Macaca mulatta: one gene and its partners. The protein of the gene in region 5 interacts with the protein of the main gene of each other region in a pairwise test. Links are inferred from orthologs where the notes say so. Each region holds a gene or a part of one and is shown on either strand. Other genes may lie near its edges.

Region 1 (3,500 bases), on a different chromosome or scaffold from region 5:
GTGGTGACGGGCGCCTGTAGACCCAGCTACTCGGAAGGCTGAGGCAGGAGAATGGGGTGAACTCGGGAGGTGGAGCTTGCAGTGAGCCGAGATCGCGCCACTGCACTCCAGCCTGGGCGACACAGAGCGAGACTCCATCTTGGGGGAAAAAAAAAATCTCACTCTATCCAGACCGGGACATGAACCCTCCCTCTGTCCCAAGGATCCACACTGTCTGCACTGCCTGCCCATTAGTTACTTGGTAGCCATCTCAGTGATCAGATTGACTGTCATGGTATCGCAGGGCCTGTGTTCAAGGAACCCTTACTTTTACTTCATAATGGCCCCAAAGCACAAGAGTAGTGATGCTGGCAATTTGGATATGCCAAAGAGAAGCCAAAATGTGCTCCCTTTAAGTGAAAAGGTAAAAGTTTTCAACTTAATAAGAAAAAGAATCCGATACTGAGGTTACTAAGGTCTATAGTAAGAATCTTCTATCCGTGAAATTGTAAAGAAGGAAAAAGAAGTTTGTGCCAGTTTTGCTGTCACACCTCGAACTGCAAAAGGTACTGCCACACCGCATGCTAAGTCTTAGTTAAGAGAGAAAAAGCATTGAATGTGTGGGTGGAAGACATGAACAGAAACACGTTCCGGTTGACAGCACCTGGACCCAAGCTATCGGGGGTCAGTGCTATCTTTGGTTTCAGGCATCCACTGTGGGTCCTGGAACACATGCCCTGCAGGTAAGAGGGCACTACTGTATGAATCTCCCACATGGGCTTGAAGAGAGGCTGAGAGTCAGAGAAGGCTCCATGCCTCTCCTCAAGTCAGAGCGTCGGGAAAGGACCATCTCACCAGGCCAGGAGAGCTCACAGGGGTCCCGTCCATCCCTCCTCCCACAGCAACCTCCATTCTGTGGTTCCACAAATCCTTCCTTTTTTTTTTTTCTTTTTTTTGAGACAGAGTCTTGCTCTGTCACCCAGCTGGAGAGCAGTGGCACAATCTCGGCTCACTGCAAACTCTGCCTCCCGGGTTCATGTCATTCTCCTGCCTCAGCCTCCCGAGTAGTGAGTAGCTGGGGCTACAGGTGTCCGCCACCACGCCCGGCTAATTTTTTTTGTATTTTTCGTAGAGACAGGATTTCACCGTGTTAGCCAGGATGGTCTCGATCTCCTGACCTCGTGATCCGCCCACCTTGGCCTCCCAAAGTGCTGCGATTACAGGCGTGAGCCACCGTGCCCGGCCTCCACAAATCCTTCTTGCAGGTCCTAAAGCCTAGAGTTTGAGTTAAAGCACCAGCTCCACTTGCCTCTAGGTACCTCTAGAAGGTACTTCAAGGCTTGGGAAAAAGCATGGAGACTTCTGTTATCTCAACGGCTGAGTGGAAGAAACAGGAAAGTCCCGGTCCGTCTCAGTGCTATGGCACTGATAGTGTTAATAATAATAAAATGGTCCCCACTATGCTACACTCGCTATGAGCCAGACACTGCCCTAAGCTCCATATGTGCATTATTTCATCCGCTCTTCTAAACAACCCTATAGATGAGGTACTATTAAATTCCTCATTTTACAAATAAAAAGGCCAGGCGCAGTGGCTCATGCCTGTAATCCCAACACTTTGGGAGGCCGAGTTAGGAGGACTGCTTGGACCCAGAAGTTTGAGGCCAGCCTGGAAAGCATAGTGAGACCCTGTCTCTGTAAAAAATCAAAAAATTAGCCGGGCGTGGTAGCACACGCCTGTGGTCCCAGCTACTTGGGAGGCTGAGGTAGAAGGATTGCTTGGATCCAGAAGATCAAGGCTGCAGTGAGCCTGGAGTGACAGAGCAAGACCCTGTCTCAAAAAAAAATAAAGAAAGAAAGAAAGAAAGAAAAAGAAACAGGTACAGGACAGGACACATGGCTCGTGCCTTTAATTCTAGCACTTTGGGAGGCCGAGGCAGGAGGATCACTTGAGCCCAAGAGTTTAAGACCTGCCTGGGAAACACAGGGAGACCCCATCTCTACAAAAAATAAAAAATAAAAATTAGCTGGGTGTGGTGGCGCACACCTGTGGTCCCAGCTACCCAGAAGGCTGGGGTGGGAGGATCACTCCAGCCTAGGCAACAGAGTGAAACAGAGTGAGACCTTGTCTCAAAAAAGAAAGGACAGAAAGACAAGAGAGGGAGGGAGGGAGGGAGAGAGGGAGAGAGGGGAAGAGAGAGAGAGAGAGAAAAACGGGGGAAGGGAGGAAGGGAGGAAGGAAGAGAGGGAGGGAGGGAGGGAGGGAGGGAGGAAGGGAGGAAGGAAGGGGCTCAGAGGGAACAAGTAACTTGTTACACGTTCAGAGTGGTTGTAAGTAACAGAGCTGAGATTTGAACCAACATCTCTCTGCTTCTAGAGCCTGAGGTCTTCAGAGCCCACCAGAAGGACTATAGCTGAGAGATCACTCCTCCTCCCAAGACCTTGGTCTCTAGGGTCCTGCAGGAGGGATGAGGCCACTGCACCTGCAGCCCCACTCAAAACCCTCTGGGACACTGTGCCCCTGGCTTCCGCTCCTGCCCTTACCTCTATCTGGTCAATGGTCTCCTGATACTCCTTCTCCCGGGTTTTGAACAGGGACTCCGTATCTTTAATCACCTTCTCCAGGCTATCTTCCTGCTGCTGGAGTAGAAAGGGAAGCAGGGGAGGCCAGCCAGGGAGGGATGGGATAGGGCGCATTCCAAGGGCCAAGTCAGAGAGAGAGAGAGAGAGAGGAAGTCCGGTTAAAGAAACTGGAGAAAGAAAAGCAAAAGGATAAAGGAAGAGGGGAGACGCAGGTAGAGGATGACAGCCACATGGGGGGACAGAGCGAGGAGAGGAGCGGGGGGGTGGGCGTCAGGCTGGAGAGGCAGAGCCAGAGGGCCCTGAGGCCGGGAGCAGAGGTTACCTCTCCCTGGGCCTCTGCAGCTGCCATGGCATAGCCTGAGAAATCCTCCCAAAGCAGCAGGGTCTCCTCAGTCTCCTCCCAAGTCAGGCTGTCACAGTCGTCCTCAAAATCATACTCCCTCCTAGAGACAGGGAACCCGGGTGTCAGGGCGGGCGGGGCCTCGTCCTGGCAGGGGACTGGGGAGCTCCGGCCTCCTGGGCTGCTGTGGCATCGGTGCTACGGGAGCACGGCCTGCGGACTCACAGCTGGTTGAGCATGCGCTGCATCTCCTCGTTGATGCTGAGGGCTGTGCTCTCCTCCTCATCCCCATCGGGCTGGCGGGGCCCCTCACTCTCCGACAGGGAGGTGTCCTCCTCGACGGCAGCCTTGCGCTCCCGCTTCCGCCCCCCCATGGATGGGACCTTAATGGGAGACAAGTGCAGAGACTACAGAGACGAGGCCGGGTGCATGAGGAGAAAGGGCGGGAGCGGGAGGCCGGGCAGAGAGGGCGGGAATGGGGGAGAAGCGTGAACCAGCAGGAAGGGTGGGGCAGACAGAGAGAAAAGTCACAGTTACAATGACAGGAACAGAAACACGGACAGTCACCAAGGGCCAGGCACACAGACACACAGCAGAG
Region 2 (3,500 bases), about 74 Mb from region 5:
TGTATGCTTTTCTCTTCTAGAAGCCACCAGTGTCCAACAGAAGGTCAATTTCTCTGAAGAAGGTATTTTATTTTTAAATATCATACAATATATATTTGAAGTCTTTTTCTTTACATTAGAAGCCATTCTGATAGATACTTAAGAAGTGAGAACACAGCCGGGGACTGTGGCACATGCCTATAGTCCCAGCTACTCAGGATGCTGAGGCAGGAGGATCACTTGAGTCCAGGAGTTCTGGGCTATCTGTAGTGTGCTATGCCGACCGGGTGTCTGCACTAAGTTTGGCATCAATATGGTGGCCTCCCGGGAGCGGGGGACCACCGTGTTGCCTAAAGAGGGGTGAATCCATTCAGTTCAGAAACGGACCAGGTCAAAACTCCCGTGCTGATCAGTAGTGGGATTGTACCTGTGAATAGCCACTGTACTCCAGCCTGGGCAACGTAGTGAGACCCCATCTCTTTAAAAAGTGAGAACAGAAAATAATGTATTTTTCTTCATGAAAAAAAATTCATGCTTATCTAAACTGTTAACTGGGCAGAAATAATAGGAAAGATAGAATGAGTGATGACAGCCTTACATTTTAAGCATCTTTTGTCTATTTGGGTTCATTTTAAGCAAAGGTAATATTTGCTATTATGGTATTAAAATAATCAGTTTTCGGCCGGGCGCGGTGGCTCAAGCCTGTAATCCCAGCACTTTGGGAGGCCGAGACGGGCGGATCACAAGGTCAGGAGATCGAGACCATCCTGGCTAACACGGTGAAACCCCGTCTCTACTAAAAAAATACAAAAAACTAGCCGGGCAAGGTGGCGGACGCCTGTAGTCCCAGCTACTCGGGAGGCTGAGGCAGGAGAATGGCGTGAACCCGGGAGGTGGAGCTTGCAGTGAGCTGAGATCCAGCCACTGCACTCCAGCTTGGGTGACAGAGCGAGACTCCGTCTCAAAAAAAAAAAAAAAAAAATCAGTTTTCCAAATTCTCATAATCAGTTTATGTTTGAAAAGTACAGGAGTAAAATTTAGTTTTTGTTGAAGCCCAGCATAATCTGAGGGTGGTCACCTGCATAATAGAATGTTTGTGTGCAGGTGTGTATACACTACCCCTCCACCACCAACACACACACACACAAACACACATCTGAATTTAACTACACACTAATTATATGTAGTTTTCCTCCCCATAAACTTTTTCCACTGTTTAATGCTCATCTGTTCATTTTTGACTCCACATTAAAGGCTTAGAATATAGTTTTTTAGATATTACTGTGAATATTTGTTTAGGAAAGTATTATGTGCCCCAGAGAACACAAATTGAGCTAAATTTTAGTTCATTTGGAACTTTGGGATTCAAAATAATAAGCATGATAAACAGCAGATCTGTATCTGATAACCTAAAAGCCTTCTCTTAATGTTAAATTACTTGCTTGTTTTTTTAAAATTCAGATCTTTTGAGCATTAAAATAAGAGTATACTAGTATATTGTTTACTTCTCTTTAGGAGAAACTGAAGAAGATGATCAAGACAGCTCTCAGAGCAGTGTCACTACTGTTAAGGCCAGATCCAGGGATTCTGATGAATCTGGAGGTAACGTTGCTTTATATACATATGACTCTTCTCATAGAACTATCTTTGGTATTCCATGAATTTGCTTTTTAAAAAAAAACTTTCATATTTTTATTACTACTTCATAAAAAGTGAATTTTTCTTTTACTATTTATTAAAATTAATTATTTCATGTATAGATCTGATTAATAATATGTCATGACATCTAAACAAATCACTTTTAGCTTTTTTTGATATTTGTGGAAAATAAGATATTTTTGTGTTCAAAGGAATTTGTTGTTTTTGAATTTTATAGAGAAACTAATCACATTGCCATTGGAACTGACAACACTATCTGGAGTGTTACTTTTAGGAAGTTTTCATTTAATTAGATAACTACCTTTATCTCTGGATTTTCAAATTCAAACCAAGTTATTAATTAACAAGTTCTGATTGTTTATGTGAATTTAAGTTCATTCAGTGAAAGAGTTGACTAAAGACTAAAGAGAGAAAAATACCAGTTTGAGGCTTAAGATAATGTTGAACAAAAAAGATAATGCTAAACAAATTTGTAAACTCTGTAAATAATGAGTAATTTTATACTTTAGTCCTGCACTTTCCCCTCACCACCTCCTTAAAATTTCTGTAATTCCAATTCTTTTTTTTTTTTTTTTGAGGCGGAATCTCGCTCTGTCACCCAGGCTGGAGTGCAGTGGCGCGATATCGGCTCACTGCAGCCTCTGCGTCCCGAGTTCAAGTGATTCTCCTGCCTCAGCCCCCCGAGTAGCTGGGATTACAGGTGTGCACCACCACACCTGGCTAATTTTTGTATTTTTAGTAGAGACGAGATTTCACCTTGTTGGCCAGGCTGGTCTTAAACTCCTGACCTCAGGTGATCCACCTGCCTCTGCCTCCCAAAGTGCTGGGATTACAGGCGTGAGCCACCATGCCTGACCTGTAATTCCTATCCTTTACTTCATCATTTCACTTCAAAAATAAGTACATAAGGCTGGGCACAGTGGCTCACATCTGTAATCCCAGCACTTTGGGAGGCTGAGGCAGGCGGATCACAAGGTCAGGAGATAGAGATCATCCTGGTTAACACGATGAAACCCCGTCTCTACTAAAAATACAAAAAAATTAGCCAGACCTGGTGGCGGGCACCGGTAGTCCCAGCTACTCGGGAGGCTGAGGCAAGAGAATGGCATGAGCCCAGGAGGCGGAGCTTGCAGTGAGCCGAGATTGCGCCACTGCACTCCAGCCTGGGCAACAGAGCAAGACTCCGTCTCAAAAAAAACAAAACAAAATAAAATAAAAATAAGTACATAACCTGGTTTTGTTTTTGTTTTTTATTTTTTTGAGACAGGATCTCGCTGTATCACCCAGGTTTGAGTACAGTGATGCGACCATGGCTCACTGCAGCCTCGACCTCCCAGGCTTAAGCAATTCTCCTGCCTCATCCTCCCAAAGTGCTGAGATTATAGGTGTGGGCCACCATGCCTGGCATTATAAGCCAGTTGATGGGCATTTGGCATTCTGTGTATTTCCCACCCTTCCTCATTTTTCCTATGTATTTTTGATATAGAAATGGAGATTTGTAACACGCTGGTAGTGTCTAACCAGAATTCCTGGGTTCCATTCCTTCACTTTTTAGCTGTTTGCCCTTAGAGAGTTATTTAACTTCTGTGTTCCTCAGTCTCGTCATCTGGATTGTTGTGTTAAATTAATTCATATATGCAAAACATTACCTGGCACATAGTAGACACTAAGTGCTATTACTAGTGTTCATACGTGTTACATGAAGCTCTAAAAATCAGAGATTAATTAAACCATTTATATAGCCAATAGTTTGCTGCCATTGCTACCAGCATAACTATTTGGAAGTACATAAACCCCAGGTCCTGTGATCATGCCATCGCACTTCAGCCTGGGCGACAGAGCGAGACTCCATCTCAAAAACA
Region 3 (4,044 bases), on a different chromosome or scaffold from region 5:
CAGGAGGCTCTCATGAGCCAAGGAGCTTGAGGCTGCAGTAAGCTATGATCACACTCCTGCACTCTGGTGTGGGTGACAGAGCGAGATCCTGCCTAAAAATAATAACCAGTAATTATATTATAAACATACAACCAAAAACTTCACGGTTTAATACATTTGCACAGAGGACCGATAAAGGGTTCTATAGAACAACTAGGTTTTTTAATAAAGTGTGCGGATTTGAATATTTCATTTTCAAACAACTGTTTTTTTTTTTTTTTTGAGACGGAGTCTCGCTCTGTCCCCCAGGCTGGACTGCGATGGCGTGATCTCGGTTCACTGCAACCTCCGCCTCCCGGGTTCAAGCGATTCTCCTGCCTCGGCCCCTGCCACCAGGCCCGGCTAATTTTTGTATTTTTTTTTCTTTAGTAGTTTCACCATGTGGGCCAGACTGGTCTAGAACTCCTGACCTCGGGTGATCCACCCGCCTGTACCTCCCAAAGTGCTGGGATTACAGGAGTGAGCCTCCGCGCCCGGCCTCAACCAACGTCTACTGAAAGAGTTTAAATACTACCTTCTTTTTCAGAACAGGGGAACATAATGGGTAAAAGGGCACACTTTACTTCAAAAGTAAATTTGTTTATTAATAAATTAAAGTAGCTTTCCACAAAACAAGACGTTGAAACAATAAGGTGTGATAGGTCTTTTATTTATTGTACAATTATTTTGCACTACTATGTGTCACACACCGGACTTAAGACGTTTGTTAAGACGTTCAACTTCTCTAAAACTTAGGATAAGATTTTCAATTAAATTTACCTGTGTCTATTACATTTGTCTTTCATTTTTGCCTGAGTAGCTGGGAAAACACATTAGACAGGTTCCTTAAAAACTAAAGTAAACTTTGAAGGAAGGAGTAATTTCGGTTTACACTAGTGATAACTCGCAACAACCCCAAACACCACATTCACTGTCTCTTACAAGGCATTTTATGTTACACCAATTACTAGTTTTAGCTTCATCCTACTACGACTTGAAGCCTGGTAACTCGGCAGGCATAAGCAAACACACAAAAAGCATATTAAAATCCACAGGAAAAAAAGCAAACTATTCTCAAACAAAACATGCTTTGCTGGAGCCGATTTGAGATTTAACCAGGATCAGACATTCCAAATTGCAATACTGTTGCACCAGAATGTCATGCAATAAATTTTTCCTGAATCCTCTTTCCTTTCCTCAAGCAAAATTTACCAGTAAGGGAGAAAAACGCAATCCAAACTGTGAGTAATTTTCAAATATTTGTTTATAGGGCCGGGTCCGGTGGCTCACGCCTGTTATCCCAGAACTTGGGAGGCCGAGGTGAGTGGACCACCTGAGGTCAGGAGTTCGAGACCGGCCTAACCAACATGGAGAAACCCGGTTTCTACTAAAATACAAAAATTACCCGGGCGTGGCGACGCATGCCGGTAATCCTAGCTACTCGGGAGGCTGAGGCAGGAGAATCGCTTGAACCCGGGAGGCGGAAGTGGCAGTGAGCCGACATCACGCCATTGCACGCCAGCCTGGGCAACAGGAGCGAAACTCCATCTCAAAAATAAATAAATAAATATTTAAAAATTATAATAGGCGCTTTAAAATGTAGTTTAAACTGTTCCTTTCAATTCTGCGTGAAGCCGTCCCGCCAAAAGATGTCCTGTTGGTGGGAAAAATTAAACTAGAAAACATAAACGGTTCAAAAAGCCCTCCATACGCAAAAGTATAAAAAGGCGGGAATTTCCTTAATTCAAATTTTGGTTAGAAATTAGTGTGTCATCAGTTGCCCTCCAGGGAGCGCTGTGAGACTCTGCTGCGAGTCATTTCAGTTAATAAAGCGGGAAAACGCTCGAACTTAACCTATAGCATTTTGGGGCCACCCCTCCAGAGCTTTCGAAAGGCCACGGAAGTCCCCGTCTAAACGCCCGCTGCCGGCAGCTGGTGGTCCAGGGAAGCCGCGTCGCCCGCGTGCAAAACAACCGCCACCAACGCAACTCCACACCTCCCAGACACACACGTCAAAGAACGCGAATCCCGGTGCCCCAACTTCTGGCCTCTCCGCTCCAGCGCCTGCAGCCCCGCGGGGAAGGGGCAACGCGAGGGGGCGCAGGGACAGCCCCGCACCTGGGAGGCCCAAGGGGGCGCCCGGGAGGGAGGGGCTGCAAACGGCGGCGAGCGCGCGCGGCAACCGCCAAACGCCCGCCTTTGTGGCCCCGGCCCCGCGTCCTTACCCTGCCGACGGCTGCTCGGCTCCGGCCCGCGGCGGCGGCCACAGAGCCGAGAATCGGCGTGGGCTCGCGTTCCTCGTCACTGGAGAAGTCCGGGGGCCCCTTGCTGTTGGCGCCGGCGGCGAGCGGCGGCCGGTTGCGCGCCGTGAGGTGCTGCAGGTAGAGCTGGACGTACACGTCTTTGCGCTGCTCCCCAGCCGGCAGCGTCACATTGTTGGCGACCAACTCACTCTTCAACTTGTCCTTCGTCAGGACCGAGGGGTCTTCCAGGAAGTCCGGCATCTCGGGGATCTGCGAAGCCCCCTCCCCGCAGCCTTCGCTGCCGCCGCTCACGCCGGCGCGCTCGCTCCTGGCCGGGGGCCGCGCTGCCGCCTCCGAGCCTCACGGCTCCTGCCCAGTAGGAGCGCTGCGGAGCGGAGCAAAAACTCGCGGACACAAAGCCAAGCCAGACCCGGACACAAAAGACCCCAGAGCCGAACTACGGACGAAGTGCAGCCAAGCTGGAAGCCCGCACCAACCCCAGCCTACACACTACAGGCAGGAGGCGAGCAGCTTGCTTCGCCCACGCCCCAAGAACGCGCGGCGCCATTGGCGGGCGACGGGAGGAAGCGCGGCGGTGATTGGCGGGACGGCCCGCGCGGGTTCCATTAGCCGCCGCGCTGAGCGAGAGGAGGTAGAAACGCAGTTTAAAAGGCGCTGGGGCGGGAGCCGAGGCGCCCGGCCCGCTTCTGTTTTCATTTTCTCCACCCTTCCCCTTAGACGCCGATAAGGGACAGGTCGTACTGCTTTTGTGCGCCGTTTCCTCTCCCTCCCCCAGCTTGAGAAGCAGCTTTCGTCTCTGGGGTCGATCGCCTACGAACCGGCCGAATTCCACGCCGGCTGTGAGGACCCTTGTCTGGGCCTTTCTTCCTCCCGGGACACTGAAGCACCGAAGAGTAGCCGCAGCCTTGCCTTCCCCAAACGCTAGCCATGAAGGGGAAGAAAAGAAGCGAGACTTGTCTGCAGGCACTCATATTCCTTGATTTGATTTACTTTGGGAGGGGGAGGGCAGGGAGTTACCCCTCTGTCTACTCGCGAACGCTTCTTTTGTTCCAGAAACCCGGGAGAAGCCAGACCTCTACCATCGGGCACTTTACCCTTGAATTTGTGACAAAAGTGTACTATACCGTTCACTTCTTAGTCTCGTAGTTGGGGCATGTCTAAATTGTTTAATTTGAACAGTGCGTTGAGACTCAAGACAAATTCGCGCTTGCATTTTTGTTGAAACCGATCCTGGCTTTGGATCCCACTAACGTTTGATAACAAAACGAAGCCGAACCCTTGGGAACCCCCTCAATGGTCAATTTAAAATAGCAGATGTTGCGTAATCCTAAAGGAAGCCTAGTGACCTATAATTAGGCCGAGAACCCTAATCAAACCCGTATTACTAATCCAAATTAAAACCTGGTAGTGACTGCAATTAAAATGTTTGCCTGAAAATTAGTATCACTGATGACAAATATTTGTATTTCTGATGAATATGTATGATTAAAGATTCTAGAAAAGAAAGGAGACCTTGGATCAAGAATGTGTTAATAATTTCCCCAGAATCTGAGCTCCAAACTATATTTTAGAAACTGATTACATTTTTTTTGGTTTGCCTGCTTTCTACACTGTTAGGTTAGAATATATTTAAAACAAACGCTTTCACTAAAAATGTTTCCTATGATTTAAGCGACTTACTTTTGTTCAAATTGAGGAGATACTTCTTTTAGTGATATTTTCCTAGAGGTAACTAGTTTATAAAAATCTCAGTATCCATATA
Region 4 (3,500 bases), on a different chromosome or scaffold from region 5:
ACACCCATGAAGTCGGGTAAGGGCTGTGAAGAAACACATCAAATAGGAAGGGGCATGTGACCAGATGGTGACAGGGTGCCACCTTTAGATGGGATGACTGGGGAATGCCAGTCATCCTGTCTGGGGACATTCTAACTTAGAACTGTTGATGTGAGGAAAGAGGAACCTGTATTATCTGAGGAAGCATAGGCAGCACCTGGCAAAAGCTCTGAGGTGGGAATGAGGTTGGAGGGTATTTCTTGAACACTTCCACAAGCAGAGAGGAGAGGGGGAGACTGGCAGGACATGAGGCTGGAGAGGGTACAGGACCCTCGGTCATGGCAAGGATGCTTATCATCTGGAATACAGGGTTGGGGTAGCTTGAGACACTGTGGGGACCTCTGGGTGACCCCCGGCTCTCTTACGCAAGTCCAGTTCCTTCCGCAGGGCCTCACAGATGGTCCGGGCCTCTCCTAGGTCTTCATTGGCTTTCTTTTTGGCTTCACCAGAGAGCAGAAAAACATTGTGTGAGTGCAGCTTCTATTCTCTTGCCAACAGTGACATTTCTCATTTGCCTTCAGGAAAATCTATAGTGGCCTAGATTTTATACAGTAGGAAACGAGGCTTCCAGAGTCCAGGCTCTCCTTGCCAGGCTCTGCTGATAGCAGGGCTAGGATCATGGGTATATTAACTATGGCAGTTGCATGCTGAAATGCCCTGTACTTAATTTAAGGCTCTGCTGCTGCTGTTGTGAATAACCAGTAACTTTGGAACAAGGGACCCTGCATTCTCATTTGGCACTGAGCCCCGCAAACCATGTAGCTGGTACTAGCTGGCAGCCAAGGCCCCTGAACTCACCTTGCTGGGCCTCATTAATCCGGTTAATCAGGACCTCAACTCGGGGCTCTAGGCTTCCCACTGCAGGGAGGAAAGGAGGTTGAGTTGACAGGGCAGGCAGAGGTGTCTCTGCTGCTTTCACGCAACACAGATCTATTCAGTACCTACTGAAAGCAGGTGCTGTGTGGGGCCCTCACAGGGCTCATGTTCTGGGTGGGCGAGACTGGGAACAGACACAATAAGATACTGAGTGGGGCTGTGGTAACTGTGTTCAAGAGAAATAAAGTAGGGCAAGGGGGGTTAAAGCGCAAAGGAGTGGAAAGCGCTCCTCAGATATGGGAAGGTATCATGAGAGCCCCAAATCAGGTGGCGGGGGGCAGGCCCTGCAGCTCTTTGGGTTGGGGTGGGAGGTAGTCAGTGCAAAGACCCCCTCTGAGGTGGGAACATGGCTGGCAGGAGCCTAGTGAGCAAAGAGGGAGTAGGGGTTGAGGGGAAAGGAAGGGAAGTAAAGGTGGCAACTTCTGGATTTAATGGACTGCAGTGGAGCCAAATGGGTGACCAGCAAGAGGTTTGGGACAGGGTTTTGGGAAAACACTTTGCCTTCCTTACCCTTTTTCCTTCTTTAATTTTGAATCATGGGACCCGATTTTTAGTTTAAGTAATTAAGTTTTAAAAGAAAGAGAAGATGAAGAGGATTATTTCCCAAGTTTATACATTGTGGGGCTGGAAATTGAACCCACATCTGCTTGGCCCCAAATCTCAGGCTGAGCCTCACACAAAGGAGACACATGACCTTTCTGCAGCTTTTTCACCATTTCCATCAAGTCTTCAATTTTCTGTGAGGATGTGTCCTGCCCTGTGGAGACAAAACCAAATATTTCAGAATCAAGCAGGGCGAGAGGCCAGAGGAAGGATCTGACAGCCCCTGGGCTGAGACTGAGGTAGACTGAGGGCAGGTCTCCAGCCAGAGTGGTAGCCCTGCTCCTTGTCCTAAGGTGAACAGTACACTAGATGAATCAGGCTCCTTCATGGTCAGCTTTTCCCTGCAGGATAAAATTATACCAGGCAGCCCTTTGTAAAACTCTGGGTGAGGGCAGGGGTATACTCTCACTGCTGAGGCTGTTCAAAGTAAGGTCAAAGCTCCTGATATAATAATTCAAGAAAAAAAATGAAGGTATAAAAACCTGGAACAAGGAGTCAAAAATCACTGTAACTAGCAGATGACATAATCTAGGAAGTTCTTAAGAGAGTTTTCTATAAAACCATAAGGATTAGTAGCAAAATGCCTTAGGATGTTAGTTTAAAAACATACATAAATACAAATAGCTTTCCTATATACAACCAATACTAAACCTGAAATCTCCCCATAAAATATTTCATATTAATTTTTTATAATTATTGGAACCTATTTTTAACACTAAAATTAGTAGATCTAAGAAATTATTTATGGCATTAACATTGTGAAAGGAAAATAAATCTTTTTATAAATATTTGAAAATAAATCAATTCAAAGTTACCCTCTGCTGAGATAGATGCGTATCTGATTTTGTAAAATAAAAATCTGAAAATAAATGAATTCAAAGTCATCTCTCTGCTCACTCAGATAAATGCATATCTGATTGCCTCCTTTGGAAAGGCTAACCACAAACTCAAAATAATGCAACCATTTGTTTTTTATCTACCTATGATCTTGAAGTCAACCTCCCTGCTTCAAGTTGTCTCATCAATGCTTTGAGGTGACCCACCTTTCCAGATCGAACCAATGTTCATCTTACATATGTTGATTCATGTCTCATGTCTCCCTAAAAAGCATATAAACCAACCTGTGCTCTGACTACCTTGCCATCCTGGGCACATGTCATCAGGACCTCCTGAGGCTGTGTCGCAGGCATGCATCCCTAACTTTGGTAAAATAAACTTCCTAAATTGACTGAGACCTGTCTCAGATTTTGGGGTTTCACATTTTGGCAACCACAAAGGGATTCTGAGTAGAGGTGCTCCTGACCTTTGACAAATATTCTACCAGTGCCTGCTAGCAGCTTGGCTATCTTTGTGGCTCAAACTAATTTGACAAGTTGCTGAGGTCTGGAAGTCCCCTATCCAGGGAATCCCTCATTTCCCAAAATTCGTTCGAAGGCCAGAGTTTATTTTCTGAACAACTCTTCTCTTTTTCTGGAGTTTTACTTGCTTTCAACAAGGAAGGCAAGTTTTCCTGCTACCATGAAAACTCATTTCTGGAGTTTGAACTCGCTCCCAACAGGAAAGACAAGTTTGAGGGTTTTTTTTTCCTGCTTCTAAGATGATAGAGACAAGTCTTCAGCCTAAGACCCGTCCCTAGGTAAGTAACTGAATTGGGGTTTGTCTTGGCTAAAGGTAAGATTAACAACCAGCTGCTCTTAATTTTTCCTTACCATTACAGTGTTCAGTAATCATACAAGTTGTGTGATCATTTGTTTGTTACGCTTAACCGCTATTTTTTTTGTTGTTTCTTTCTGTTTTTGCTGTTTTGGTCCTTTTCCCATTGGGTTTGGCCAATTCTATCTGACTTGATCAAATCCAAAGGAAAGTTCCAAATTATGTGGAACAAGGCCTCTGAAGTGGCTAAATTCCCATCAGAAAAGTGGTGGTGGGGGAAGAAAAAACGGCCAGTAAAAGTAAAAAAGGGGGAGAAGAGTTTTGATTTT
Region 5 (4,129 bases):
CGTCTCTACTAAAAATACAAAATTTAGCTGGGTGTGGTGGCAGGCACCTGTTGTCCCAGCTACTTGGGAGGCTGAGGCAGAAGCATGGCTTGAACCCAGGAGGCAGAGGTTGCAGTGAGCCGAGATCACACTACTGTACTCCAGCCTGGACAACAAAGCGAGACTCCGTCTCAAAAAAACAAAATAAAGGTTGATGGCCGGGCATGGTGGCTCACGCCTGTAATCCCAGCACTCTGGGAGGCTGAGGTGGGTGGATCATTTGAAGGCAGGAGTTTGAGACCAGTCTAGTCAACATGGTGAAACCCTGTCTCTACTAAAAATACAAAAAAAAAAAAAAAAAAAAAAAAAATTAGCTGGGTGTGGTGGCTCACGCCTGTAATCCCAGCTACTCGGGAGGCTGAGGCAGGAGAATCTCTTGAGCCTGGGAGGTGGTGGTTGCGGTGAGCCAAGATCGCACCACTTCATTCCAGTCTGGGTAACAGAGTGAGACCCTGTCTCAAAAAAAAAAAAAAAGAAAGAAAGAAAAAAAGGTTGAGCCTGTTTTCCTACACACAACTTCCACTGACTCTTCAGAAAGAAGGGCTATGGGCCCGGCGTGGTGGCTCGCGCCTGTAATCCTAGGACTTTGGGAGGCCAAGGTAGGTGGATCACCTGAGGTTGGGAGTTCAAGACTAGCATGACCAACATGAAGAAACCCCTTCTCTACTAAAAATACAAAATTAGCCCGGCATGGTGGCACATGCCTGTAATCTCAGCTACTTGGGAGGCTGAGGCAGGAGAATCGCTTGAACCTGGGAGGCAGAGGTTGCGGTGAGCCGAGATTGTGCCATTGCACTCTAGCCTGGGCAACAAAAGCGAAACTCCATTTTCAAAAAAAAAAAAGGGCGATGGATCTGCCACACCCACCACACCTAGCAAAGGGTTTTGGGAAGAGCAGAAGTTTGGAGTAGTTGATAAAAGGGAGAGAAGAAGTCAAAGCCAACAGCCCTTTATGGCTCTCCAAGCCCTGTTAGTGCTCTTAGCCTGGGTCTGCATAGAGAAAGGGAAGGCAGGAAGAAGGGAACCAAATTTTGGGGGGACTGGAAGAGGAAGGCCTATACTTCCAAGCTCCCAAGGCTTTTTTAGGAAAGAAGAAGGTGGAGTTGAGCAGGGTGGGGTAGGGTGGGGCAGGGGTGGGTAAAGTAGGAGTGGCCTGAAGCTTCCAACGGCTGGATTTCAAAAATGTCACTGTATTCCAGCACTTTAATAAGACAAAGATCAAAACGTCAGCAGCTAAGAGGATGGGCCTGAGCAAAGACTGCCTGGCCTGGCTGGGAAAATGGAAGTGGCTCACTCCAAGGAGGGAAGGACAGTGCCCCCAACCCTCGAAGACACTAGGCAGTGGGCCAAGGGAGGAGTGCGGCCAGACCTGGGCATAACACAACTTCCTGAGCTGGGAGCCTCTGCCCTCTGCCTCCCTCCCTCCCTTGCATTCCTGGGCCAAGCAGGCCAAGGGCTGTGGGAGCTGCGGGGGAGCCAATCTCCCGATCTCCCATCTCCGGGAGCTCTTTTGGTGGGCCTGTCAGAGCCCAAGGAAGGTCCCAGACACGCAGAGTGGCAGAGTGAGGGACAGCTTCCCAACCCTTAGAACCCCGGACAAGGTCATGCCGAGGGGGCCACCGCCAAGCCCTCGGGAGGGAAAAGGGGGATTGCCCTGCCTTCCTCACCTCTCTCCAACACGCTGGACAGATGCCAGCTTGGGAGTCATGTCTTAGTGGGCATCATGTGTTCAGAGCCAGCTTGGGCAAAGCTGGCACCAGTGCCAAGCCCGCCAACAAAGTTCTAACAGGACCCTTTCTGCTACTCATATGTGTCCTGGGTGCCCAGAGTTCTTCGAGCTGGCAGGGCTAGTTCTGTTTTGCTTAAGCCCCTCCCGCAGGCTCCAAATAGCTGGCAAATCCCAATCTGACCGAATTCGGGCAGGCCCCAGCCCTAACTTGTCCCTGATACCCCCACCATTCCTTATATCCCCCCCACCCTCTCCCAGAGACCACCTCTTCCCTCTCTGTCCTGTCTTGACAATTCCCCTTGACACTGCCAGTCACTCGCTGGGGGCAGTTCCGGGAAGGGAGGAGACTATGGCAAAGTTATCGGCCTCCAGGCCCTCTCACTCCCTTCCTGCAGTCGGCCAGGGGCGCCGGCCAGCCGCCCTCTCCACTCCCCGCCAGGCACGCAGCCACCTGGGCGAACTCACCGCGCTTTCAGCTCCTTAAACTCCTCACGCACTTTGCTCAGCTCCAGCTGCAGGCGGGCACGCTCCTTGGCCACTGAGTCGAGGGTCTTGCGGGCATCCCCGAGCTCGGCCTCGTAGGCGGCCTTGATGCCGGACACCTCGCGGCTGACCACCTCTTCAGACTCGGTGATGCGAAGGCGCAGCCCTGCGTTCTCCGTTTCCAGCGAGCGAACACGGTCGATGTAGACCGCCAAGCGATCATTGAGCTCCTGCAGGTCCTCCTTCTCCTGCAGCCGGGTGATGCGGGTGGGCGACAGCGGAGTGGAACTGGCCTGCGCCCCGCTGCGGGTGGCGCGCCGCTGGGACGGGGTCTCCATGGCCGGCAGGTTGGCAGCGCTGCCCGCGGGGCAGGGGTCCCGGAAAGGGCTCGGGGCTCGGGCAGAAGGACGGAGACTGCTCGGAGTCGGAGTGCGCCGGCCGGCTGGCTCTCGGCTTGCTACTGGCAGGCGTGGGGATCTGGGCCGGGCGCTGTTGGACCTCGGGATCTGGGTTGGCTGGTGTAGGTGCTGCGCTCCCGCGAACACTGAGTCACCGACGCCGGGGCAAAGGCTCTAATAGGTCCTCGTCTGAAGGGAGGAGTGGCCACTGCTCTTAAAGGGGCAGTCCCAGATCCATGGGGGTGGGGGCAGGAGTGGTGAGGAGGGGGAAAGACCGTTGGGGTGTGGCGGAGTCGAGCCCCACCCTCTCCAGCGCACCCCTAACTGCGTGAGGCTTAAGCTTCCCCTCTCTTGGCTGCTCAGTACTGCCGGCTCCAAGCTTGCCCCCATTGCCTCAGACCTTCTGGGCTAGAGGGCAGAGCCAAGGAGGGAGAGTGGGTGGGCAAAAGGGTGGGGGAGAAAGAGAGGGAAGTGGGTGCAAAGCAAGGGAGAGGGTCAGGCAGGCAGGGCTGGGAGCCAGGAAAGTGGGGGGAGGGCTGAGGCTGGTGCCCATCAGTGTGACTCACCCTTCTTCCACCACTGGCTCCCCCTGTCCTCCCAGTAGTAATAGTGAGTCACCCCAACCCCCCCTCCACACGTGGGCAGCCCATTCAGAGCTGCATCTCAGTGTGCCAGGAGTGGGGTGGAGAAGGAATGCCTGGGTTCCCTGGGGGGAACAAAGTTCTGGAACCTGAGTTCCTTTATGCCCCCAATTTGGGGCCAGGGATCAAGGAGTTTGGGGGTCCCTTTTTTGCTTTCTTTTGCCCCAATATATCTCCCTTCAAAACCAAGTATTCGTTTTTAGACCCAAGCAACAAGCCACAGTCCCCTAAAGAAGGCCAAGAATAGGAGCCAGGCACTTCCCCCTTCCATCTCCTGTCCCCTTCCTTTGGACCCAAGCACTGCTTGGGTTCCTTCCCCCTTCAGTCCCTTTCTACTGCTTACCCCACCCAGTCAACTTAATTTTTTTCCCCCAGAACTGTACTTATTTTAATGGATAATTTAAAACAGATACCAGAGCTGTGTGTGCATTCATTACGTTGCCAGGACACTAGGTCCCAGATTTCTGTGGTTCCCAGAGGGGCCTGAAAGGGGGAGCAGGGCTGGGGGCTGGACAGCCAACGTTGGGTCTCTATCCTGGTTTCAGCCAGAAAGAAGGTAGTAGGGGGCAAGAAGGTAGTGGGGGGCAGGAACAGCAAAGACCCCACAGCCTTGCTGGCTGCAAAGGCCAGCACCACATTCATCTCTACTTTCCTCTCTGGCCAGGTCCATTTTGCAGCTGGCTCTGGGGAGGGGCCAGGCTGTCTCACAAAACGAGATCACCCAGGTCCCCAGGGTTCGCTAGCTCAGGCTCTGGAGCCTCCATCCTCAGGCCTCACCAAGGACCCTTTTGATAAGCCTTCCACTCCCCTCCCCTCATCCTGGCCCCTATTCTGGTCCC
Region 6 (3,939 bases), on a different chromosome or scaffold from region 5:
TCTTACCTAAGACATTCTTCATCCTTGGTAATCACACTTTCATGATCCTGTTTCTTTTTTTTTTTTTAAGCAGAGTCTCACTCTGTTGCCCAGGCTGGGGTACAGTGGCACAATCTTGGCTCACTGCAACCTCTGCCTCCTAGGTTCAAGTGATTCTCCTGCTTCAGCCTCCCAAGTAGCTGGGATTACAGGCACGTGCCGCCATGCCCGGCTGATTTCTGTATTTTTAGTAGATATGGGGTTTCACCATGTTGCCCAGGCTGGCCTTGAACTCCTGGCCTCAGGTGATCCACCTCCCTTGACCTTCCAAAGTGCTAGGATTACAGGCATGAGTCACTGCGCCTGGCCTCGTGATCTTATTTCAAACTTAGATCTTTTTGCCACATGTTCCTACCCTCTCTATTGTATTTTGTATCACAGTGTTAGATTATACTTCCATTTCATTATTTCCCTAAGTTTCAAACTCTTTATATCAGGGTTTCCTAGTGTTGGCTCTACTGACATGTTGGTTTAGATAATTCTCTGTTGTCTGGGGCTGTTCTGTGTGTTGTAAGAGGCTTAGCATTAGCCTTGTCCTCTCTACCCACTAGATACTAGGAGCACCTCCCTGAGTTATAACAACCAAAAATGTCCCAAGACATTGCCAATGCCCTCTGGGGCACAAAATTGGCACTGGTTGACAACCACTGTCTCATTTTAGTATTAAAAACAAAACAAAAAAGTTCTATATAATTTGGTTCTCTTTTACATCTTACAATTAGTAAAGGTCATTTAGACTCAAGAAGAAAAGGTTAGGGGCGTCTGTCTACAGAATAAAATCTCAATTCCAGAGGTTGAGATTCAAGGTCCTGGACACTATCTCAACTCTTCTACTCAGAATTCACCTTTCCAACCTAACTGGGCTTTCTACTACTCAAAGAAACACAGAACCCCACCCTGCTCTCCTCACTAACTTTCCATTGTACTCCCACATCTCATTCCCCTGAAATAGTTAATTTTTCCATTTTAAAACCCTGTAATGGAGTCAGAGCAATGGATATATCTGCAAAACCTTAATTCTTAATTATTTGTATTGCGCAACAGAGTGATGCCCCTCCAAGAGACTGCTTCCCATCCTGCTACTTTCATCTCTCTGATACCTTCTCTTGTCTTAGAAGTTTTCTAAGATGAGCAGCATATTTATCAAACAGAATTTTGTAGCTTAATAGAGAAATATAAAATCCTTCCACAGAAAAGTTATAAATAAGTTGGGACCACATTAGCCAACTTTCCCTGAAACTCATGCCCCTTTCTGATGCATCAAACTGTCAAAAAACATGCTTTGTGAAAAAATGGCTGTTCTTCACTCTGGCCTAGAAATCCACAATTTATCTTTTCTCAAACAGAAGTCACATCTTTTTTCTCACCTGCTCTCCTGGCTCATCCAATTCTCTCTCTAAATCCTCCAGCACAGTCACCACCTCCTCGCCACTCTCTGGATGCTGCTCCTGCACCCAGGCCTGGAGCTCCTCAGGTAGGATGGTCAGGAACTGCTCCAGCACCAGCAGCTCCAGAATCTGTTCTTTGGTGTGGGTCTCTGGCCTCAGCCACTGATGGCAAAGTTCTCGGAGTCGGCTCAAAGCTTCACGGGGACCAGACGTCTCCTGGTAGCAGAACTGTCTGAAGTACTGACGGAAGACCTCTCTGCTATGGGTGTTGTTTTTATGCAGGTCCCAATCCTGTCTGGTGGTATACTTCTTCTCCTCTATCTTTACTTCCAAACGTTCATCCTGGTCCATGTGGGCCTGGATAGCCCAAGTAGATGCCATTTTAGCTGTGCCAGAACTACCGGTGTTTCAAGTAAGATCTCCCCTGGAAAATTTATTCCTGGACAGTCCTGAGGAATAAGCCATCATTATTAACACAAACTCCACCATAAAGTAAAATTGCAAATTCTGAGAACTATGATCTTTGAAATCTGGCCTCCAGGTTAATGTACGATACTTACTCAGAAAAATACTCTGATAGAAAAGACTTAAGATTAGACCAATTTAAAGAGAAAGACTAAGGAAAGGTGCCAAGTTGTTTCAGGACATTAAGAAGAAGAGTAAGACTTGTTAGTAAACTTATTCTCATTTGGTCCTAAATGAAAGACAAATGGAATAAAACTAACATTTAGATCAAGTAAACAATAATGATAAAAGGTTAGGACATCCTTGATTAGTTACTTTTATCTTTTGAATGTCCAGATGTCTGGTAGAAACCATGAAATCACAAAAGCAACAAAGTCATGTAAATTTATTTCCTCAGGGACTTAAACTTTCCGCTCCTTATTCTTCATTTATAAAGTGAGAAGCCTGAAGAGGTTACTCTTTAAGCCTTCCCTCTATCCTCATGGTCTGTGATTATAATCTGAAGTGAGGAAGGCCCTGGGACGCCGGCCAGCGTCTGTGAACCACCACTGTCTAGAAATGTCGGTACGCGCTGAACCCAAGGATACAACGCCGAGGCAAACGCGGAAGGTAGGTATGGGCCTTACAGCACGGAACTGCTGCAGACTGGGAGCCGATCCCTCATCCTAGTCTCCCAGCGCACTTTGGGGAGGGAGAGCTTCCCGCGGATCCACCTGGGTTTGGGAGGACCAGGGTCCATTCTGCACCGGCCAGAGCCGAGGGGCCCAGCAACTAGAATACAGCAATCTTCCGCCCACCTCCTCGCAGCATACAGAGCACAACATCGCTCACCTGCGGCCCCCCGGGCCAGAAGAGAACTCCCCCCTAAAGGCCTCGAACCCTTTTGGGACCCGGAACCCATCAAAAGTGACCCACAAAGTCCGGAAGCGGCCACAGGAGGGCTGAGAACCAACCCGCGTGGGGCGCACTTCCGCGGCCGCTCTAGGAAGGGGGCGAAAGGGGCTTTCAACTCGGTAGTAGTGTTTCCGCGCGTCTACGTGAGAGGAAGGGTGATGATGGCTCTCAGACCCGCGGGTAAACGGAACGGGTTTATCTTTCTCCTCTTCTTTACTCAGCCATTGTCCACACTTCCCCCGGCCCGATGGGTGGTCAAGGCTTGTAGAACTGATCTTAAGACAGGGAAATCCCTTGCGTCTCCATTCACTTTGGGATTCTGTGTCTCTGAGGTTAGAGATGCCTCAAAGGGATGTTCTCGGGGGACCTTCTCCCGGGGAGCTTCCCAAATCCGCGCTTAGCGGTGGCGTAGGGATTTCTTCCACACAGACTTCTCAAGGGCCAGCGGGCTGGTTTCTGCCGGCTATTTCGCCATCCACGATCCTCTTGATGTTCTCTTTTATGCGCCGATGTATGATTATATGTCAGAAAACCCGGTTCAATGGAAAAACTATTAAAAAAAAGGATAATTTAGTAAATTAGCAAGATATAAAGTTAACACACTAAAATCAATGGCCTTCATATATGTGAATAATCAATGATAACGAGTTACGAGATATAATGGAAGAGAAGACTATATTTACAATAGCAACAAAAAATTGAAACTAGGAATAAACTTAACAAGAAATGAACAAAACTTCTATGGAGAAAGCTTTAAAAAGCTCCTAAAAGGCCAGATGTACATTTAAACAAACAGAAAGCAATATGCGGTTCTTAGAAAGACTCAAAGAGGTCAATCCTCCCTAAATACGTATGCAACTCTAGTATTCCAACAAAAATATCAACAAATATTGTTCTGGAATTAGATAAACTGATTATAAAGTTCAAGTGGGAAAATAAGAATAGCCAGGAAACCCATGAAAAAGAACAATGGTGAGGGTCAGCCTTATCAGATACTGGAACATACCCATATGATTTTATTGTATTAACAGAGAGAAAGAATAGACCAGAAATAGATCCAGGTATGTAAGGATATTGAGTAAATGATGAAGGGGACACCACATGTCAACAGAGAAATGAAGAACTTAGAAGTTGTGCTGGGATGACAACCATT
Region 7 (4,008 bases), on a different chromosome or scaffold from region 5:
CATCTGAAAAAGACAAACGAAGAGAAACTTTAATAGTTACCTAACAGAGGTATTGTAGATAGCCCTGAAACAGACTCACAATTTTGTGGGCATTCAGAGAGTGACAAAGGTACAATTTCAAATCAGGGTAGAAAGGATGGCTTAAAATTAATATTATTGGGTCAATGGGCTACAAAATTGAGAATTGAATTTAAATCATTTACAGCATATGGAAAATAAATTTCGGATGGATTAGAGCTCTGAATGTAAATTTAAGCCTATAAGAAAATTAGAAAAAGTTATAAGGGAATTATAGATTAATTATTTTGGTGCGAAAGTCTCCCCAAGTCATGTAAGAATGATAAATCTGATTACATGAAAACCTTACGCTTCTACACAGTGAAAAAAAAATTAAAAGACAAGTCAGAGACTGAGAGAAACATATGTGACTCATAAATCAGACCAAGGAGACAGGGCGAAGACATGGAGACGTGAAGTAGGAGGTGTGCTCAGGAAAATAGTTAAATGTCATCCACGTACAGGATAAACGGCTTCCCACGTCATGTCCCAGAAATCGATTAGTCGATGGGATTTGGGTGATTGCTTTCTTCTGTTTTTCCTGAATTTTTCTCTTTTTTATTTCTTTCCCTTTCTTCTTTCTCTCTTTCTTTTTTACAATGATGGTGTGTTTGTAATCGACATTTTAAAAATTCTATAACAATTAAATTTGGGGGCGGCCTTCCCTTGTTTCCCGTATGGAGTGTTGATGTTTCAGCAGCTTTATTTGGAGTTTACAAGTGGAAGCACCTGGGTTTGGGGCTTCCTTTGTGTCCCCAAGACACCTATTGCAGGAGTGAGTCCTAAGCAGTAGAAAACAGATGCATGTGCAGGGCTGGATGAAGCACTATGGAGCCTGTGTGAGAGGAGGCACGGGCGCTAACACAGGAGCGCACTTCCTCATTCCGCTTCTTCTCATCCTCTCTCGCAGTGCCATTGTCATCACTCATCCCATCCGGTCATCCCAAGTCACACGCAAGAGTTCGTTCCCGGCGCGCGCGTCAGCTTGACTCGCGCGTCTCCACGTCCGGGACCCGCAGGGGAACGCCGCCGCCCCGTCCGGTCGCTTGTTGTGTTGTCATCACGTGGCCTGGGCGGACCCTGACGTCAGTGGCAGGGGAGGGACAGCGCAGGCGCAGAAAAGGGGGCGGGGGACTCGGCTTGTTGTGTTGCTGCCTGAGAGCCTGAGACGGTCCTGCTGCTGCCGGAGCCCTGCCAGCTGTCCGACGATGTCGTCCCACCTAGTCGAGCCGCCGCCGCCCCTGCACAACAACAACAACAACTGCGAGGAAAGTGGCCAGTCTCTGCCGCAGCCGGCCGGCCTCAATAGTGAGTGAGGGGCCGAGGGCTTGGTGAAGGGGATGGGGGAGGAGGAGCCGCCCCGGCCGCCGCCACCGGCGCGGCGCGGGAGGCGGGAGGAGAAGGCAGCTCATTGGCCCAGGCCGGTGATGTCCGGGTGACTGACAGCTCCCGTCACCTGTCAGGAGGATGGGCGCCTGCCTTGCTCCGGGCCTCTCTGTTGCCTCCTGGGGTCATGGGCCGGGGCCGTTTGGGTTCGCGGTCCGGGAGCGGCGCGGGTAGCGCGGATCCCACTGGTGCTGGGGGTGGTCCCCAGCAGCGGAGCCGGGCGGGGCGGGGGCGGGCCTGGGGGGCGGGGAGGCCAGGTGGGCGGAGCGGGCCGCGGAGGGGACGTGGGCCGGAATGGGGACGTGCGGCGGGGACGCCGGGGGATGGACGCGCGGGAGCGGGGCGGGGCGGGCGGATGCCGCGGGACGTGTCTGGGATCAGGTGTGCGGGGCCCGCGGGCGGGCAGCGTCTGGCGGGCTCGGGAGCCCCCAGCGAGCATTCCTTTGTTGCCACATGTTTGTCAGGAAAATTCATTTGCTGGTCTAGGGGCTTCAGTCACGTGTGGGGTGAGAGGCTGTGCCTTGCTTCTCCTTTTTCCTTTTTTAATTTTTTTTTATTAGCTTTCTCGAAGTTGCCCAAGTGATTTTTTTTAAGCGATGAGGTTGTGCGCCCAGTAAACCTGAGAGCAGCCTCCTGAACCACCCGGGACTGCACACGTCAGGGAGTCTGGGGCCATGCATTTAAAGAAACGGAATTAAAAACGCACTCGGGCAATTGAAAGTTAACGGGCAAGGCTGATGGACAACCCAGGCCAGGGTCTTTTCATAACATTCCACTGCCCAGACATCTTGTCCTCAGATTGTTCCTGGTCGTGAGAACCGGGAGCCTTCTTGGAAGGGTTCTTGCCTAACCTTTCTTTAATTCAACTCTTGGGAAAGAGATAATGGGGGTAGCGAGCATATGGCCAGATGAAGGCTTTTCAAAACCGCTTGGATGCTTAAAGGTCATGCAGTATCTTTCGTAAGAGGGAGATGCTTCCAGCGTGGCCTGAAGATTATTCTAGGGAAGAGAGTTTCAGCCGTCACCAGGTAGCAACGGAGTTTGGAGATTTTAAGACGGATGCTGCTGCTCCAGGTTTTTTGATGGGTTAATACCCAAAACCTTTAAGTGTCCTACATTCCAGAATGTAAGACGGTTATGTTATTTCCCACAGTAAATTAGGATGAATGTCTGAGTCATTAAACGTTACTCGTATCACATATTCCTATGCAATTTTAAGTTATTTGCCCATGTTTAGCATACTGTCTTAGGTTTGAGAATGGGAAAAACTTCAGAGCTAGCTAACTGCCTCCTGTTGTTTACCTGTAGAGAAACAGGTCTAGAGTTAAGAGCCTGGTCCAAGTTCACAACTGGCTGGGAGCAAAGCGGAGGTTGTCATGTTCAGCCTGTCTACTGCTGTTTTCAGGGAGGGCTTTTTTTTTTTTTTTTTTTTTTTGAGATGGAGTCTCGCTCTGTCTACAACCTCCACCTCCCAGGTTCAAGCGATTCTTCTGCCTCGGCCTCCTGAGTAGCTGGGACTACAGATGCTTGCCACCCGCCCAGCTAATTTTTATATTTTTAGTGGAGACGAAGTTTCGCCATGTAGTTGGGATTACAGGCGCCCGACACCAACCCAGACTAATTTTTGTATTTTCAGTAGTGAGGGGGTTGGTCTCTCACCATGTTGGCCAGGCTGGTCTCAAACTGCTGACCTCACGTGATTAGCCCGCCTGGGCCTCCCAAAGTGCTGGGATTACAGGCTTGAGCCATCACACCCGGCCTCTTTTCAGGACTTCTTTTCAGTGGTCCAGAACCTCCTGCTGGTCTGTGTGTCTTATTTTGTCAGTGTGTTATTCTACCTAATTCACAAAGGTGGCCCACCTTTCTGTTTCTTTTTAGTATTCTGTTTCTTAATTGTGCAATTTTCTTATGAGTGAAGATACTTGGTAGGTGTACATGATTTCACTGAAATCTAAGGGATTTTCATCTTCCTTTGACCCTTTAACAACAACAACAATAAGGGCTGAGCCAGGCAGGGCGTGGTGGCTCATACCTGTCATCCCAGCACTTTGGGAGGCCGAAGCGGGTGGATCACTTGAGGTCAGGAATTCGAGACCAGCCTGGCCAACATGGTGAGAGACCAACCCCCTCTCTACTGAAAATACAAAAATTAGCTGGCCTGTCGGGCGCCTGTAATCCCAGCTACTCAGGAGGCTGAGGCAGGAGAATCGCTTGAATCCGGGAGGCAGAGGTTGCAGTGAGCTGAAATCGGGCCACTGCACTCCAGCCTGGGTGACAGAACGAGACTCTGTCTCAAAAAAAAAAAAAAAAAAAAAAAGGGCTGAGCCATATGTCATTGTTTATCTTGGAGTCTGACAGACCTATGAGGAGTTTGATGTCTTTGGCCAGTCGGTTCCTGCTTGGTTGACATCAACTCTTACAGAGGTGGAAGTACTCAGCCTGCATGGGATATCAAAATGTTGCTTTGGGAAATCTAGATAGAAAATATTTTACGTGGGATAGGGTGAGCTTTCTGAAAAGCTTTTAGATAATGCCATATTTAATTACTCCCCTCTTTCCTCTTAA

The links.
Region 1: the proteins of LMNA (region 5) and IFFO1 interact in binary tests that used the Homo sapiens proteins (3 or more experiments, as listed by UniProt). The link is inferred for Macaca mulatta from reciprocal best matches to the Homo sapiens genes LMNA and IFFO1.
Region 2: the proteins of LMNA (region 5) and TOR1AIP1 interact in a two-hybrid assay, tested with the Homo sapiens proteins (2 studies listed by BioGRID). The link is inferred for Macaca mulatta from reciprocal best matches to the Homo sapiens genes LMNA and TOR1AIP1.
Region 3: the proteins of LMNA (region 5) and TMPO interact in a two-hybrid assay, tested with the Homo sapiens proteins (2 studies listed by BioGRID, with this or other methods). The link is inferred for Macaca mulatta from reciprocal best matches to the Homo sapiens genes LMNA and TMPO.
Region 4: the proteins of LMNA (region 5) and SYCE1 interact in binary tests that used the Homo sapiens proteins (3 or more experiments, as listed by UniProt). The link is inferred for Macaca mulatta from reciprocal best matches to the Homo sapiens genes LMNA and SYCE1.
Region 6: the proteins of LMNA (region 5) and ZSCAN12 interact in binary tests that used the Homo sapiens proteins (3 or more experiments, as listed by UniProt). The link is inferred for Macaca mulatta from reciprocal best matches to the Homo sapiens genes LMNA and ZSCAN12.
Region 7: the proteins of LMNA (region 5) and BNIP3L interact in a two-hybrid assay, tested with the Homo sapiens proteins (2 studies listed by BioGRID and IntAct). The link is inferred for Macaca mulatta from reciprocal best matches to the Homo sapiens genes LMNA and BNIP3L.

What each region holds. Positions count from the first base shown.
Region 1 is NC_133416.1:7,497,169-7,500,668, forward strand, and holds part of IFFO1 (non-homologous end joining factor IFFO1), read right to left. Parts: exon of another isoform or gene 3,310-3,500; coding exon 3,128-3,309; exon of another isoform or gene 3,006-3,127; coding exon 2,885-3,005; exon of another isoform or gene 2,620-2,884; coding exon 2,524-2,619; exon of another isoform or gene 2,357-2,523; intron 1-2,356. UniProt on the Homo sapiens protein: Nuclear matrix protein involved in the immobilization of broken DNA ends and the suppression of chromosome translocation during DNA double-strand breaks (DSBs).
Region 2 is NC_133406.1:37,306,566-37,310,065, forward strand, and holds part of TOR1AIP1 (torsin-1A-interacting protein 1), read left to right. Parts: intron 1-20; coding exon 21-62; intron 63-1,494; coding exon 1,495-1,581; intron 1,582-3,500. UniProt on the Homo sapiens protein: Required for nuclear membrane integrity. Induces TOR1A and TOR1B ATPase activity and is required for their location on the nuclear membrane. Binds to A- and B-type lamins. Possible role in membrane attachment and assembly of the nuclear lamina.
Region 3 is NC_133416.1:105,806,526-105,810,569, reverse strand, and holds the start of TMPO (thymopoietin), read right to left. Parts: upstream 2,801-4,044; 5' UTR 2,523-2,800; coding exon 2,244-2,522; intron 1-2,243. UniProt on the Homo sapiens protein: May help direct the assembly of the nuclear lamina and thereby help maintain the structural organization of the nuclear envelope. Possible receptor for attachment of lamin filaments to the inner nuclear membrane.
Region 4 is NC_133414.1:145,685,461-145,688,960, forward strand, and holds part of SYCE1 (synaptonemal complex central element protein 1), read right to left. Parts: intron 1,673-3,500; coding exon 1,610-1,672; intron 898-1,609; coding exon 838-897; intron 480-837; coding exon 405-479; intron 1-404. UniProt on the Homo sapiens protein: Major component of the transverse central element of synaptonemal complexes (SCS), formed between homologous chromosomes during meiotic prophase. Requires SYCP1 in order to be incorporated into the central element.
Region 5 is NC_133406.1:110,815,755-110,819,883, forward strand, and holds the start of LMNA (lamin), read right to left. Parts: upstream 2,801-4,129; 5' UTR 2,590-2,800; coding exon 2,234-2,589; intron 1-2,233.
Region 6 is NC_133409.1:154,944,812-154,948,750, reverse strand, and holds the start of ZSCAN12 (zinc finger and SCAN domain-containing protein 12), read right to left. Parts: upstream 2,801-3,939; 5' UTR 2,724-2,800; intron 1,877-2,723; 5' UTR 1,809-1,876; coding exon 1,407-1,808; intron 1-1,406. UniProt on the Homo sapiens protein: May be involved in transcriptional regulation.
Region 7 is NC_133413.1:28,123,808-28,127,815, forward strand, and holds the start of BNIP3L (BCL2/adenovirus E1B 19 kDa protein-interacting protein 3-like), read left to right. Parts: upstream 1-1,208; 5' UTR 1,209-1,265; coding exon 1,266-1,365; intron 1,366-4,008.